Canis lupus familiaris: one gene and its partners. The protein of the gene in region 1 purifies or fractionates together with the protein of each later gene. This does not show direct contact. Links are inferred from orthologs where the notes say so. Each region holds a gene or a part of one and is shown in the gene's direction. Other genes may lie near its edges. The genes, in order: CORO1A, POC1A and IFT57.

Region 1 (4,407 bases):
TTGGGGATCCCTGGGTGGCTCAGTAGTTTGGCACCTGCCTTTGGCCCAGGGCATGATCCTGGAGTCCCGGGATCGAGTCCCGTGTCGGGCTCCCGGCATGGAACCTGCTTCTCCCTCTGCCTGTGTCTCTGCCCCTCTCTCTCTCTCTCTCTCTATCATGAATAAATAAATAAATAAATAAATAAATAATCTTAAAAAAAAAAGGAATATGTCAGTCTTCATATCTCGATTCTGCAGCTGTGTGGGCTGATGATTGCCGCCAGCTTTTCCTAGATGGTGACCAGATGGTCACTACTAGTGCCAGTCTTATAGCCAATCTTATAGCCGGTCTTATAGCTTTTTCTTGCAGCTTCAACCAGTCTGCTTCTGATTACATAGCCTTGAATCAAGTGCCCATCCTTAAACCAATCAAAAAAGATTGCTTGACTGGGGAACTGTGGCCCTGTGCCCACCCTGGACCCCCTCTTGAACTTCAGGGACTGCCAGTGAGGAAAGGTTGGTCCCCCAAAGGAAAATCCAGAGGTGGCCGTCAGTAAAGAGGGTTTGGTAAGATGGTGGGCCAGCAACACCCAACAGATACACTGTCCCAGCGCCCCTCATACGGAGCTGTCAGCCCAAATACCCAGTGATCATGGGGAGAGCCAACATTTATTAAGCACTTGCTACACCCAAGAGGAGGTGCATAAAGCTTTGCTTCCCCCTATAACCTCTCGAGTTAGGTAGGACTCTTACAGAGGGAGAAACTGAGGCTGAGGGAGGTTAAGTATCCTGCCCTGGTCACTCAGTAGTGTGACAACCAGGAGCCAAACTCAGCAAGCATCCTGATTCTGGAGTATGCCTCTCTTGCCCTCTGCATTGCCACCTCCCTGACGCCTTCTCCAAATCCAAGGGCGACGATGGATTCCTCCTTCCTCTTGAGTGTGCAGTCTGGCTTCTACTCTGCTTGGCATCCCTGGAGCCCTCCTCTCCTCTCCCTCTGGGAGGCTGAGAGCCCTCTGGGGGCAGGAACCTGACCCTGACTCATTGACCTCTGCCGCTCCTGCAGGAAGAAGCCTCCAGAATGCCAGAGTAATTCATTTGTTCCCTGTGAGGTAGGCGAGGCAGAGGTGCTCCAGGGTGAAGACCTGAGATGGCAGAGAAGTGACTCTCCCGAGGCCACGGTTTGTAAACGGAGGAGCCTAGACGAGACCCCAGGGCTCCCCTCCTCTCGGTTCCTCGTCTGGGAGTGGTGGGGGGGGGGCGAGGAAGGCAGCTCAGCCTTAGCTGGGGGTGGGCGTGGGGGCCTGATGGGCGCTTCTGCGAACGCCAGGGACAGGATGGTGAGTGGGCTGGGGACGGACTGAAGGAGGGAAGAAGGAACAGGGTATTTTTGCATTTTGACATTACAAAAGTGCCGATTAGATTGTCAGCGAGTGGCCGGCAGCATCTGTTTGGGTTGGGAGTTGGCAGGCGCGGCGGAGCGCGGCGGAGGGCGGGGCGGCCGCGGGCTGGGGGGCGGGGAGCCCTTCAGGAGCTCCGCCCAAAGGGGCGCTGCCACCCCTAAGGAGGCGGGCAGCGGCGCTTCTCATTCATTGTCTTGACAAGAGCATCCTCAGCGGGCAGCCTCTGGCTCCGCCAGCGCCTTCCTCCTCCTCTTCCTCCTCCTCCTCTCCCTCCTCTATCCGGGGGGTCCCTCCTCTCTCAGCGGCAGGTAAGCCCGGGTCCCCGGGCGAGGCGCCGGGCATCGCTGCCCTGGGCCACCTGTGGGGCAGGCGTGAGCCGGGCGGGAGGCGGCCGCGGGGGCGGCGGGGCTGTCAGCGCGCGGCGGGGACCGGGGACGGGGCCGTGCGCGCCGCGCGTGCAGGGGGCTCGCCGGGGGGCAGGGGGTGCGCGGGAGGGTCCGTCTGCGCGTCCGGGGCGCCGTGAGCAGGCGGGGTGAGGGACCACCGCAGCCAAGATGGAGGTGGGGGGCGGGGGGCTGGCTCGCGCCGGAACGGGCGGCGGGGGCGGGGGGGCAGGGTGGGGTGAGCCGAGCGGCTGCCCTGAGCTCCGAGACAGGAAGGGGTTGAGAGCAAAACAAGAAAAGACCAAGTTCCCCTTTCCGCGGTTTCTGGGCCTGGTACCTGCAGTGGGGGAGGAGGCGGGTGGGGCGATGGCTTCCTGTTCCCCAGCCTTGGCTTCGGGGCTACCCTCGCTCCAGGCCCAGGGTCTGACCCGGGACTGATCCCTCTGGCCCCGGACTGCTTCTCCTCACACGTGCTCCTCACCTGCTGTCTGGGCAGGTGGGCCCGGAGCCTCCCGGAGCCGACCAGGGCCGACCAGGGCCGACCAGGGCAGCGGGGTGCCCCGCGAGAAGGGCCAGGGCCAAAGGCAGTCTAAGGGGTGAAACCGAGGAGGGGGTAGAGGCCTGGCGCCCACGCTGAGCAGGGAGGTGATGCAGTTGGGCTTCAGGATGGAGCCTGGAGCCTGGGGAGCCAGAGGCAACACCATCCTCTTCAGTCGCTCTCTGACCAGCCAGGTGGGAGAAGCCCCGCTGGACCTCAGGGAAATCAGTGCCACCTCTCCCTGTGCATAGTTCCAGAGCAGGTGGAAATGGCACTTAGGGGCACCTGCTCAGGCAGACTCGAGAGGCAGAGGTGTGGGGAGGAGAGAGTGGGACCCAGGCCATTTGCCTGTTTCTGGTGCCCAGACACCTGCTGGGGAGGCCACCCTGCCTCTGATGACCTGCCTCCTGGGCAGGTCAACGTGCTGCTTCCCCCTGGATGCCTAGCCCCGTGCCAGGAGGTGAGGGAGGCCAGCCCTGCCCCTGCCTTCAGGAAGCTCTCTGTGTGGGTGTGAGCAATGTGAGCTGTGGCTGCTGTGATGGAGTGAAGCTACCCTCCAGGCTGTGCCCCCAGAGGGTGGGAGGGTGAGCCATGGAGAGAAAGGGCTGTGTCTGGCAGCAGCCGACAGATGGGCTCTTGGTGCTACTGCCCCCACCCCACCCCCAGGCTCTGGAATAGAGGCTGAGGGTACAGACCAGAGGCCTGGGTGGGCAGAAAAGGTAGGCCTTGCAGGTTTGCCAGGAGTGACAAGGGGTGAGGAAGGTGAGCATGAGGGCAACAGGATGGTAGTTACAGAGGACGGAGCAGGGAGCCCAGGAAGATGCTGGGGAAGTTAGCTGAGACCCTAAACACCAGCTGAGGGGTGTCCTGGGGGGACATGGGGAACACTCTAAGGTCAGAGTCAACCTGAAGGGAGAAAGGCCCTCAAGCCCACGTGCCCCTACCCCCCAGGATGAGCCGGCAGGTGGTCCGCTCCAGCAAGTTCCGCCATGTGTTTGGACAACCAGCCAAGGCTGACCAGTGCTATGAGGATGTGCGTGTCTCACAGACCACCTGGGACAGTGGCTTCTGTGCTGTCAACCCCAAGTTCATGGCCCTGATCTGCGAGGCCAGTGGCGGAGGGGCCTTCCTGGTGCTGCCCCTGGGCAAGGTGAGCCCCTGGAGTCCTTGGGGCAGTAGTCTTCCACTTGAAGGGGCCTCTGATCCTGATTAGGTGACTGTCACCAGGCCTTCTGGGGCTGCAGCATTGTCATATGTAAAACTGAGCTGGGCCACATGAGCCTTAAGCCTCCTCCAGCTCCAACATGCAGTGGTCGCATGGAAACTGAAGCTCAGGTGACACCAGAAAGGTCATATAGCGAGTCCTGCAGACCCAGGGCCAGGTGTCCCAAGTCTTAGCCCAGGGACTTCTCCCCTCTGGAGCACAGCCTGGGCTCCATGGGGTCTGGGCAGACCCAGTGGTGCTCACGGGGTGGGAGGGGCTTGGGGCCAGGCCAGTCTGAGCCCCCATCACCCTCCAGAGCTCCAGCCAGTTCTGGCCCCGGGCTACAAGCAGGGAGGACATGAAAGGCCCTCTCCCCTCCCCCAAACCTGCCTTCCCTCTGCTTCTGCTGCTCACAACCCCCCTTCCGCTCTGTTGACCCCCACCCCCAGCACACTCCTTTGCCTTGAGGGGTGAGACAGGAAGGGGACATGGGCCCTAAGTTGTTACCTTAAAAGGGCTGATGAAAGCCAAGAGAAGAGGAAGTGGTTGTGGGGCGAGAGCTGGGTGAGCTCTTCACACAGGAAGCCCTGTGGCGGCAGCTGTCCCCGGAAGCAGCCATTTCCAAACCTTTGCTCCTGCTTGGGGCCAGTTATGACAGACTTCCCCAGTCCCTATCCTATTGGAAGGACCCATCCCCATTCCCACACTTCCTGGGGAATCCTACCCTTAATACAACCTCCCCTGCCCAGGGCCCTGGCCTATCATCCCCTGGGAAGCCTGGTTCAAGGAAGCTGGGGTGGGAGTGCCAGCCCTCAGGGCATCGGCAAGAAAGTGGGGGTAGAGATGTCAGGAGTTGGCCAGTAAGGCAGGACTGGGGCCCAGTGTGTCCCTGTTACCCAG
Region 2 (3,644 bases), on another chromosome or scaffold:
GCTTGTCAGGTTCTTGTAAGTTCTTGGTGGCTGTTCACACTGTGCTGCATCATCAGGAGAGGGAGGAGCCTGCATTAGAGCAGGGCCTCACCTGTTCTGGTCTCCTCAATGAACCTCAACTTCTGCCCTCCTCAGGTAGGCGGGAGCCCCAGGGAAAGGCGTCTCCTAAGAGCTGGCCATGGTGCCAGCCTGGGTGTCACCCTTGGCCTGTCTCCTGCAGATGGGTCAACCAGTGGCCTTGGGGTCCCACTGGCCCTTTGGGGCCAGGCCTCATCGCTTTGATGAGGGCCCTTGCTCTGACTCTGAACAGCCTGAGCTGTCAGCTGTCGTTTAGGCTGAAGACCCCTTTCTCTACTTGTATTTAGAGGTGGACGCTGGGATTCGGTCCCTGATGAGTCCACCTCCGGTCACTGTTAGCCACTGTTTTTGCCCTCTCTCTGCTGTCCCTTGGCCACCTGGTAAAGAAAAAGGGCAGAAGGGAGATATTTTGGGTTTGGGGAACAGCTTGAGCAGATGTGCAGGGATGGGAAAGGGGGGTCTGTTCTGGGCCAGGACAGTCCTACAGCATGCGGCGGCCCCTGCCTTTCCAGCTTTGTCACCTACGTGGACTTCCACCCCAGTGGCACGTGCATCGCCGCTGCCAGCATGGACAACACAGTGAAGGTGTGGGACGTGCGGACGCACCGCCTCTTGCAGCACTACCAGCGTGAGTGTCCCTGAGCAGCCACAGCATGACGGTGCGGAACCTGGCGTCAGGCTTGTGGCCATCATGCTGAAGCAGGCCTGAGGACGGCCCTGGTCAGTGGGGAGGAGTCCTGGGCCCATTGGGATCTCCAGGGGTCAACTCAGGTTGGAGACCAGAATCAGGAAGCAGCCCTGGGGCCATGTCCCCTGAGAATTATAGCCCTCAGAGGTGCAGAACAGCGAGCAGTCAACATAGGCCATCTTAGGCTCCTGCTGGGAGGTAGGGTAGGGACGGACCGGGTGTGATTAGGGTGAGCTGGAAGGTGCTGGAGTGTGGAACTTGAGAGCAGGTGTGACTGGGCAGGGCTGTGAGTCACCTTGGCCGTGGGGATGGGGAAGGGAAGGGAGGTGGTGATCTGCCACAGGAGGAACTAGGAGTGGGGCCAGGGGCAATATGGTGGGCAGGCCTGTGGGCCTGGGGCTAAGACCAGGTTGGGGTAGAGCTGGAGTTGTTGGAAAAACTGTGGTTATTGTCTTGGGACAAGATTTAAAGTCCATGGGCTACATCCAGAATTCACCCCTGAAATGGAAAGGATGCGTCTGGACAAAGGTGTTGGGCTTGGGGTTCAGCTTTCCCTTGCATCCCCTCCTAGCTGATTCTCAGCTGTTGAGGACAGCACTTCCTTGAGGTAACTGAGGCTAGCAGACCTCCCATGTTGAGGGAGAGGCTCTTGGTCTTAAAAAGCATTTGGCGGAGGGTGGGCTTTGCAACCAGCCTCAGTATTTGGAGTTGTGGGACGTTGGGCAGGGCATTTGACTCCTTTGGGCCCCCTGGGACAGTGATAGGGCCTCCTTCACAGGTGGTGTTGGGAGGGTAATGAGTTAGTCTCTGCCAAGAACTTAGAGAGTGCCAGGCACAAAACAGGAACCAAGTAAGGGGTTCAGATGCCCGTGTTGCCAAGTCTGGGTCCGGAGATCCTGGAGTAGGGAGTCTGGCCTGCATTGCCCTACACCACCACCAGGTGGCAGAGGCTAGCCACTCTTCCTTAACAGAAAGCCCTGGGGCTTGTCGTAGCTGCAGCTGTTGCAGACAGACCTTCTAGAACAGAGTAGCTATGGGGTCTACCCTCTACTTGGAAACCACAGCTTTCCTTCCCTCCTTCAGGCTTAGAGGCCTCTCTTCTCTGGGCCAGGCCTGGGTTGGAGTTGGCGCACATCTGCAGCGGTTGACTGGGGGAGGGTTGGCAGGTATGGAGGAGTGCCGGGGCGGGAAGGTGCCTCTGAGTGTGGGGTCAGGAGTATTGGGAGGGGGAGGTGACGAGGCCAGGCAGGTTAGGAGTATAGGCTGTTTCCTGTCTGTAAAGGGTGATAATAGTACCTCATGGGATTTGTGAAGATGTGTTGGGGGAGTCTACATGATGATTATAATACAGTACTAGAAATGTGGTTAGTACCACATAAATCTTTCTCTTCTAATTTGTATTATTATTATTATTTTTTTCATCACATAAGTCTTGACACTGAGGGGAGAGGATCTCTAGGTGGCCATGGGAGAGTCCAGCCTCACCTCTGATGGATCAGGAGCATGGGTCTGGGTTTGTGGCATGCACCAGTAGGAACCCATTGGGGAGGGCGTTGAATGCCATACTCTGGCCCATGGTCCAAAAGATGCAGCCTGGCTGGCAGTGCTGGGACTGGTCCCATTGCTCGAAGAGCAAAGGTATGTCTGAAAGGACATACAGAGCCTGCCTGGGTGGGAAACTGGTGTGCTTGGGCGACTGGTGGGTGGGCTACTTATGCCCCATGTCTGAGTGAGAGGAGGGCATCCAAGTAGGGCAGGGATCAGGTCCAAGGGTTAGGTTTTGGAGATTGAGAGAGTCAGTAGGTGACATTACGGGTTGAGGGTCCCGCTGGGCCCAGAAATCTGGGCCTTGAGAAGGGCTGAGGCCATATCATGGGTCCCTATGATTGAGGGGCCATGGAGGGAAAGGTCTACAAAGCAGCCAGAGTGAAGGATGGAAAAGGGCTGAGAGGGCAGGACCAGAGGCATAAAGAAAAGCAGAGTCTCCTGAAGAGGGTGATCAGGAGGTAGAGTGATACAGAGCAGTTGAGAAGGGTGGCAGGTGCTGGAGAGAGGTCCCTGGAGTTCTTGAGGGGGCAGGCTTGGCAGTGGGTGGGCCGGGGAGTCAGTGACTGGAGGGGCTGGGGATGTGGTGAGGGGGCTCAGGTGGCATCAGGAGCCAAATCCTGAGAGGACCCGGGGTACATGAGGCTTACAGGCTCTCTGCAGAGAGATTTCAGTGTGTTTTTGCTATTGTCCTTTGCTCTTATGACAGACCTACTCTGTCTTGTTCCTAAGCCACCTGAATACATATCAGAGGCCTTGAGTGGCTTGGAGTACCCTGTAAACAACTGAGTTTCCTTAGCTCCCTGCCCAATACATGGTGCACAGGGCAGCAAACTCATCCCACTGCCTCTAAACTCACCCTCTGGAGCTCAAGGAGAGCCACGTGGATCTGAGGATGCTGTTGGGGGACATACCCCTCACACTTTATGCTGTTTGAGGGACCTGGCCAGGTCTGCTCAGGTCTACTGGCACCTCTTAGGAGCTGCGTGGCCGAACCTTCGACCTTAGAGGCTCTCACTAGCCCCTTAGTAGCAGCTGCTCTCTCATCCTCAGGGGTACAGGGGCATCTCTTTGGAGGCTGATTCTCCAGAAGGACTCCTGGCACTCTGACAGCAGACACGAGCTGAGCTGTTTTTCACCCCTGATCCTTAGGAAACCCAGAGGAAAGTTTTTAAGAACACAGACATCCCCTATCTCCCTTGGTGACTCTGGATGAGTACCAGGCACTCCTGGTGGGCCTTGGGCACATGAGGTTGTTGGGCTTTTCCAAGACCTTTTGATTCTTGATGCTACAGTGTGTGGTCAGCATTCCCAGCCCGCCTGTGTCCAGCTG
Region 3 (3,644 bases), on another chromosome or scaffold:
TACAATTTAGATATGCATAAGGACTAATGAATTGACTAACACTTCCAGGTGCTTTTTTATTTTAACATTCTGCCAAGTGTGACTAAAATATTTCTCATTACAGACTTCTTTTGCTATTGAAAATTTCAAGCTATCTTCTTTTTCACAAGTGGTTGGGAATTTGTGGGATGGATTGAAGGAAATTTAGCCCATTTTGTACTATTTTTGAAAAATGTATTTGTGAGTTCTTTTATCTACTAAAATCCTATGGAATTTCTAGGGATTTTTGGATAAACTTCATAATGAAATTAGTAGAACTCTGGAAAAGATCGGCAGCCGAGAAAAGTACATCAACAACCAGCTTGAGCATTTGGTTCAAGAATATCGTGCAGCCCAAGCCCAACTGAGTGAGGTAACTTAGGAATGATATTCAGGGATTTATTTCAGTTAATGACCTTAATTCCCAAACTTGACACAGCACTTTTCATTTGAGAATCATGAAATGCTTCTCCCAAACAGCAACACATGGATACTCTGCCCACTTTAGGAAGCCACGTGAGGCAGTAGAACTTGTCATCTCCATGTTACATGCAATAGAAATTATCTCCTAGAAGTCTTTAAATGCATTTCTTCTTTTGATTTAAATAAATGAAGACATGTATTGTTGGGGAACATTGCTTAGAACAGGAACAGAGTGTCAGGACACCTGGTTTTGTTTCTTAGTCTGCCGTTAATTTACCCTGTGAGTAGGAGGAAAAAGAATAGTATGCATTTACATGTGTCAGAGGGAAAAGACATCATTGCCTTAATGGCTTACAGCCACATAATAAAGAATATGAAAGCAAGACACGTTCAGAGACAAGCAGTTTAATTAATTTAATGAGCAAATTTTTTAATCCTTTCAAGGTTTTAGAATTTCAACCAAAAAAATAAAACCTTCAGCCTTTGGAAGCAGTGGTTCTTTGTACCCCAGTAGGGATCTAAAGGCTTTCCTTGGGAGTTATGCCCCCTCTTTCCTGATGTTGAGGAAGGCTAGTAAGAACACTTAGAAATGCTAGTTGAAGAGTTTTTTATTTTTCTTTCAGTAAATAAGGTTAGAAGAAGGGAAAAAATGGAAATCAACTTAAGATACTTCTGTACTTTCAGAAGTTCTCAAAGACCAAACAGAAAACAATCTTCACTGTTTTATTATGTTATTTATTTAACAAATTATTCCCTCATATACATATATACTCATGGATGTTTTTACTTTCAAAATGCTGTAAAAAGTCTGATTAAAACCACTGTCAAACACTGATACTAAATAATTGTTAGATTAGTTCCCAAGAACATATTCCGTACTGTCATACCATTTGTTAATCCTTATTAATTGCTCATCCTGATGCTCTGTTATGATTGATTTTTTGAACTGGTTTTCTCTGCATAGCATGCAAATTACATCGACCAAGAGCTGCTCTCCTAAACTGTGTAGGAATAGCTGAGGACAGTTTTTATTGTGAACCATGCCCGTGTGAGTTACACAGTCAGTATATGAAGGTTAAGGTAGTTTATCATTTTATAGTGCCTTAGTTTAAATACATCGCGCCTATTAGGGACATAAAAAAGCTACAGTTAAATGTCACTTTCACAAATGTATTCACAAATGGGGGGGGCTGTCATAAAATGATATGCAGAAATCGCAAACACAAAGAGGTCACATTTAAGTAATCTGCTTCTGTTGTGAATTTGTCATTAAACAAAATGTTTTCTCCCTTAGGCACGGGAGCGATACCAGCAGGGTAATGGCGGAGTAACGGAAAGGACCAAGCTCCTGTCTGAGGTGCACACCACGCTCTCGCCCTCTCCTCACCCTCAGCTGCACCCTGGCCCCAGCCATGCAGAGTCATTGTGGTTTAATACTGCTCCAACCGGGCGCTCTTTATTTCAGCAACTGCTTCCCGTGGCTCTGAGTCCTTTTCTTTAGGAGAAAATCCCTAGTTTTCTTATCAATGAATCAATTATGTATTTATATACTTCTTATTCCCATAAAATGCCTGAAGTTGTTTTATTAAATTCAACATAGAACCTGTTGATAATATTAGCACATTTATAACCTTCCTTAATCTTTTTAAAAGCAGAGTAGTCATGATTAATACATAGAAGAGTAGGTAAAGCACTGGCTTAAATGTCTTATAATTAATTTTAATGTTAGTCTGTAAGATATAAGATCTGTTTTTAGTGATTGCTGCTGATGTATGTGATCCTAAGTATTTCTGTCTACAAACTGGAAGTGGCTATCCTTCTGAGAACTTCTGAAATATTTGCATATATTGTTGCATTGATTTTCATCATCACACAAAGGGGTACAATCTAATATATATTCCAATTTTTTACTGAAGGGCCGGGAGAAAAAAAATTCTTACAAGGTCAATAGCCAATGTACAAGAGTGTCTTTGGTTATAATCCAGTGTAATTGTCACAGACATTTTCAATATAATAGAATTAAGCTTCTTTTATAGAGATTATTTGAGGCATAAATAGTTATTTTAGAATACTAAAAGTGTAACTTTAGAAATATTTAGACTCTAATCCTGTGGTGCTTCTAGGCAAATAGAACATTATGTAGAAGTAAAGTGCTCACTTACGTTAGGTAAATTAACACTTGAAGGGAGTCCAGGGACCCATTTAGTTCTTTTGGAGGAGGTAGTTATCCCCAGTTGTAACATTGCAGGTGCCTAAAAAAAAATTAATTTGCTTTACTTGGATGAGCACTTTATTCCCAAGGAAGTTTTTACTCACCAGTATGATAAAAATAAAGCCTAGTAAGTTACAATAATTATGGCTTAGTTCTAGGTCATATAATTTTTTAAAAAAACTTTTAAAGCTAATATTCTAGGTTGGAATTTTACTAATAGAGGCTATAGTAGTATAATTTTGAATATGACGTAGAATACAGCTAAGAGCCAATATGACAGCACAATATGCCTCTTGGAGTTCACGGTTTGGATAGAGCAGTTGGAATATTTTTATATACAGCCATATGGTATAAACGTTATTTTTAGCATCCTATACAGGAAAAGATGGCATCTTCTCTTATAAAACTATAATATTAAGAAAGATACCTACTAAGCCTTAGAAATCCAAAATCTTCTCAGAATGTATATACTGTTTTAATTAATAACTCATTATTAAAGACTGGCAAGGTTGGGATGCCTGGATGGCTCAGTCCATTGAGTGTCTGACTTGATTTCAGCTCAGGTCATGATCTTAAGGTTGTGAGACAGAGCTCCAAGTCAGGCGTGGAGATTCTCTCACTCTCCCTCTGCCCCTCTCTATCCCACCCCACCTCCCTGCTCTCTTTTTCTCTCTAAAAAGAAAAAAAAAAAAAAGGATTGGCATGGTAGATGCTAGGAGATAACTACAAGGTTTGCATGTCTGATGCCTAAAACAACAACTTAGATCAGTTTTTATTGTCATGTGACAACCTGAAAACATCATTTGGTGAAGTTTAATGTTAGGAGCACTCTCAGAAGATAAAAAGCTTTGTCTCTCTGTCTCTTTTATTATTCAAATTATGTCCAGAACACTCCTAATATGTTTATGTCCCTTTATGGATGTATTAGATCTATATTTTTTTAATATACCATTCAATAATTTTGAAAGCTTATTAAAATCTAGAGCTCATG

Evidence for each region.
Region 2: the proteins of CORO1A (region 1) and POC1A purify together in Homo sapiens (affinity purification with mass spectrometry; 3 studies listed by BioGRID and IntAct, counting the BioPlex papers as one, with this or other methods). This does not show direct contact. The link is inferred for Canis lupus familiaris from reciprocal best matches to the Homo sapiens genes CORO1A and POC1A.
Region 3: the proteins of CORO1A (region 1) and IFT57 purify together in Homo sapiens (affinity purification with mass spectrometry; 3 studies listed by BioGRID and IntAct, counting the BioPlex papers as one, with this or other methods). This does not show direct contact. The link is inferred for Canis lupus familiaris from reciprocal best matches to the Homo sapiens genes CORO1A and IFT57.

What each region holds. Positions count from the first base shown.
Region 1 is NC_049227.1:18,326,840-18,331,246, forward strand, and holds the start of CORO1A (coronin-1A), read left to right. Parts: upstream 1-1,531; 5' UTR 1,532-1,690; intron 1,691-3,254; 5' UTR 3,255-3,255; coding exon 3,256-3,453; intron 3,454-4,407. UniProt on the Homo sapiens protein: May be a crucial component of the cytoskeleton of highly motile cells, functioning both in the invagination of large pieces of plasma membrane, as well as in forming protrusions of the plasma membrane involved in cell locomotion.
Region 2 is NC_049241.1:38,006,348-38,009,991, forward strand, and holds part of POC1A (POC1 centriolar protein homolog A), read left to right. Parts: intron 1-590; coding exon 591-706; intron 707-3,644.
Region 3 is NC_049254.1:13,948,546-13,952,189, reverse strand, and holds part of IFT57 (intraflagellar transport protein 57 homolog), read left to right. Parts: intron 1-259; coding exon 260-391; intron 392-1,735; coding exon 1,736-1,798; intron 1,799-2,603; exon of another isoform or gene 2,604-2,693; intron 2,694-3,644. UniProt on the Homo sapiens protein: Required for the formation of cilia. Plays an indirect role in sonic hedgehog signaling, cilia being required for all activity of the hedgehog pathway.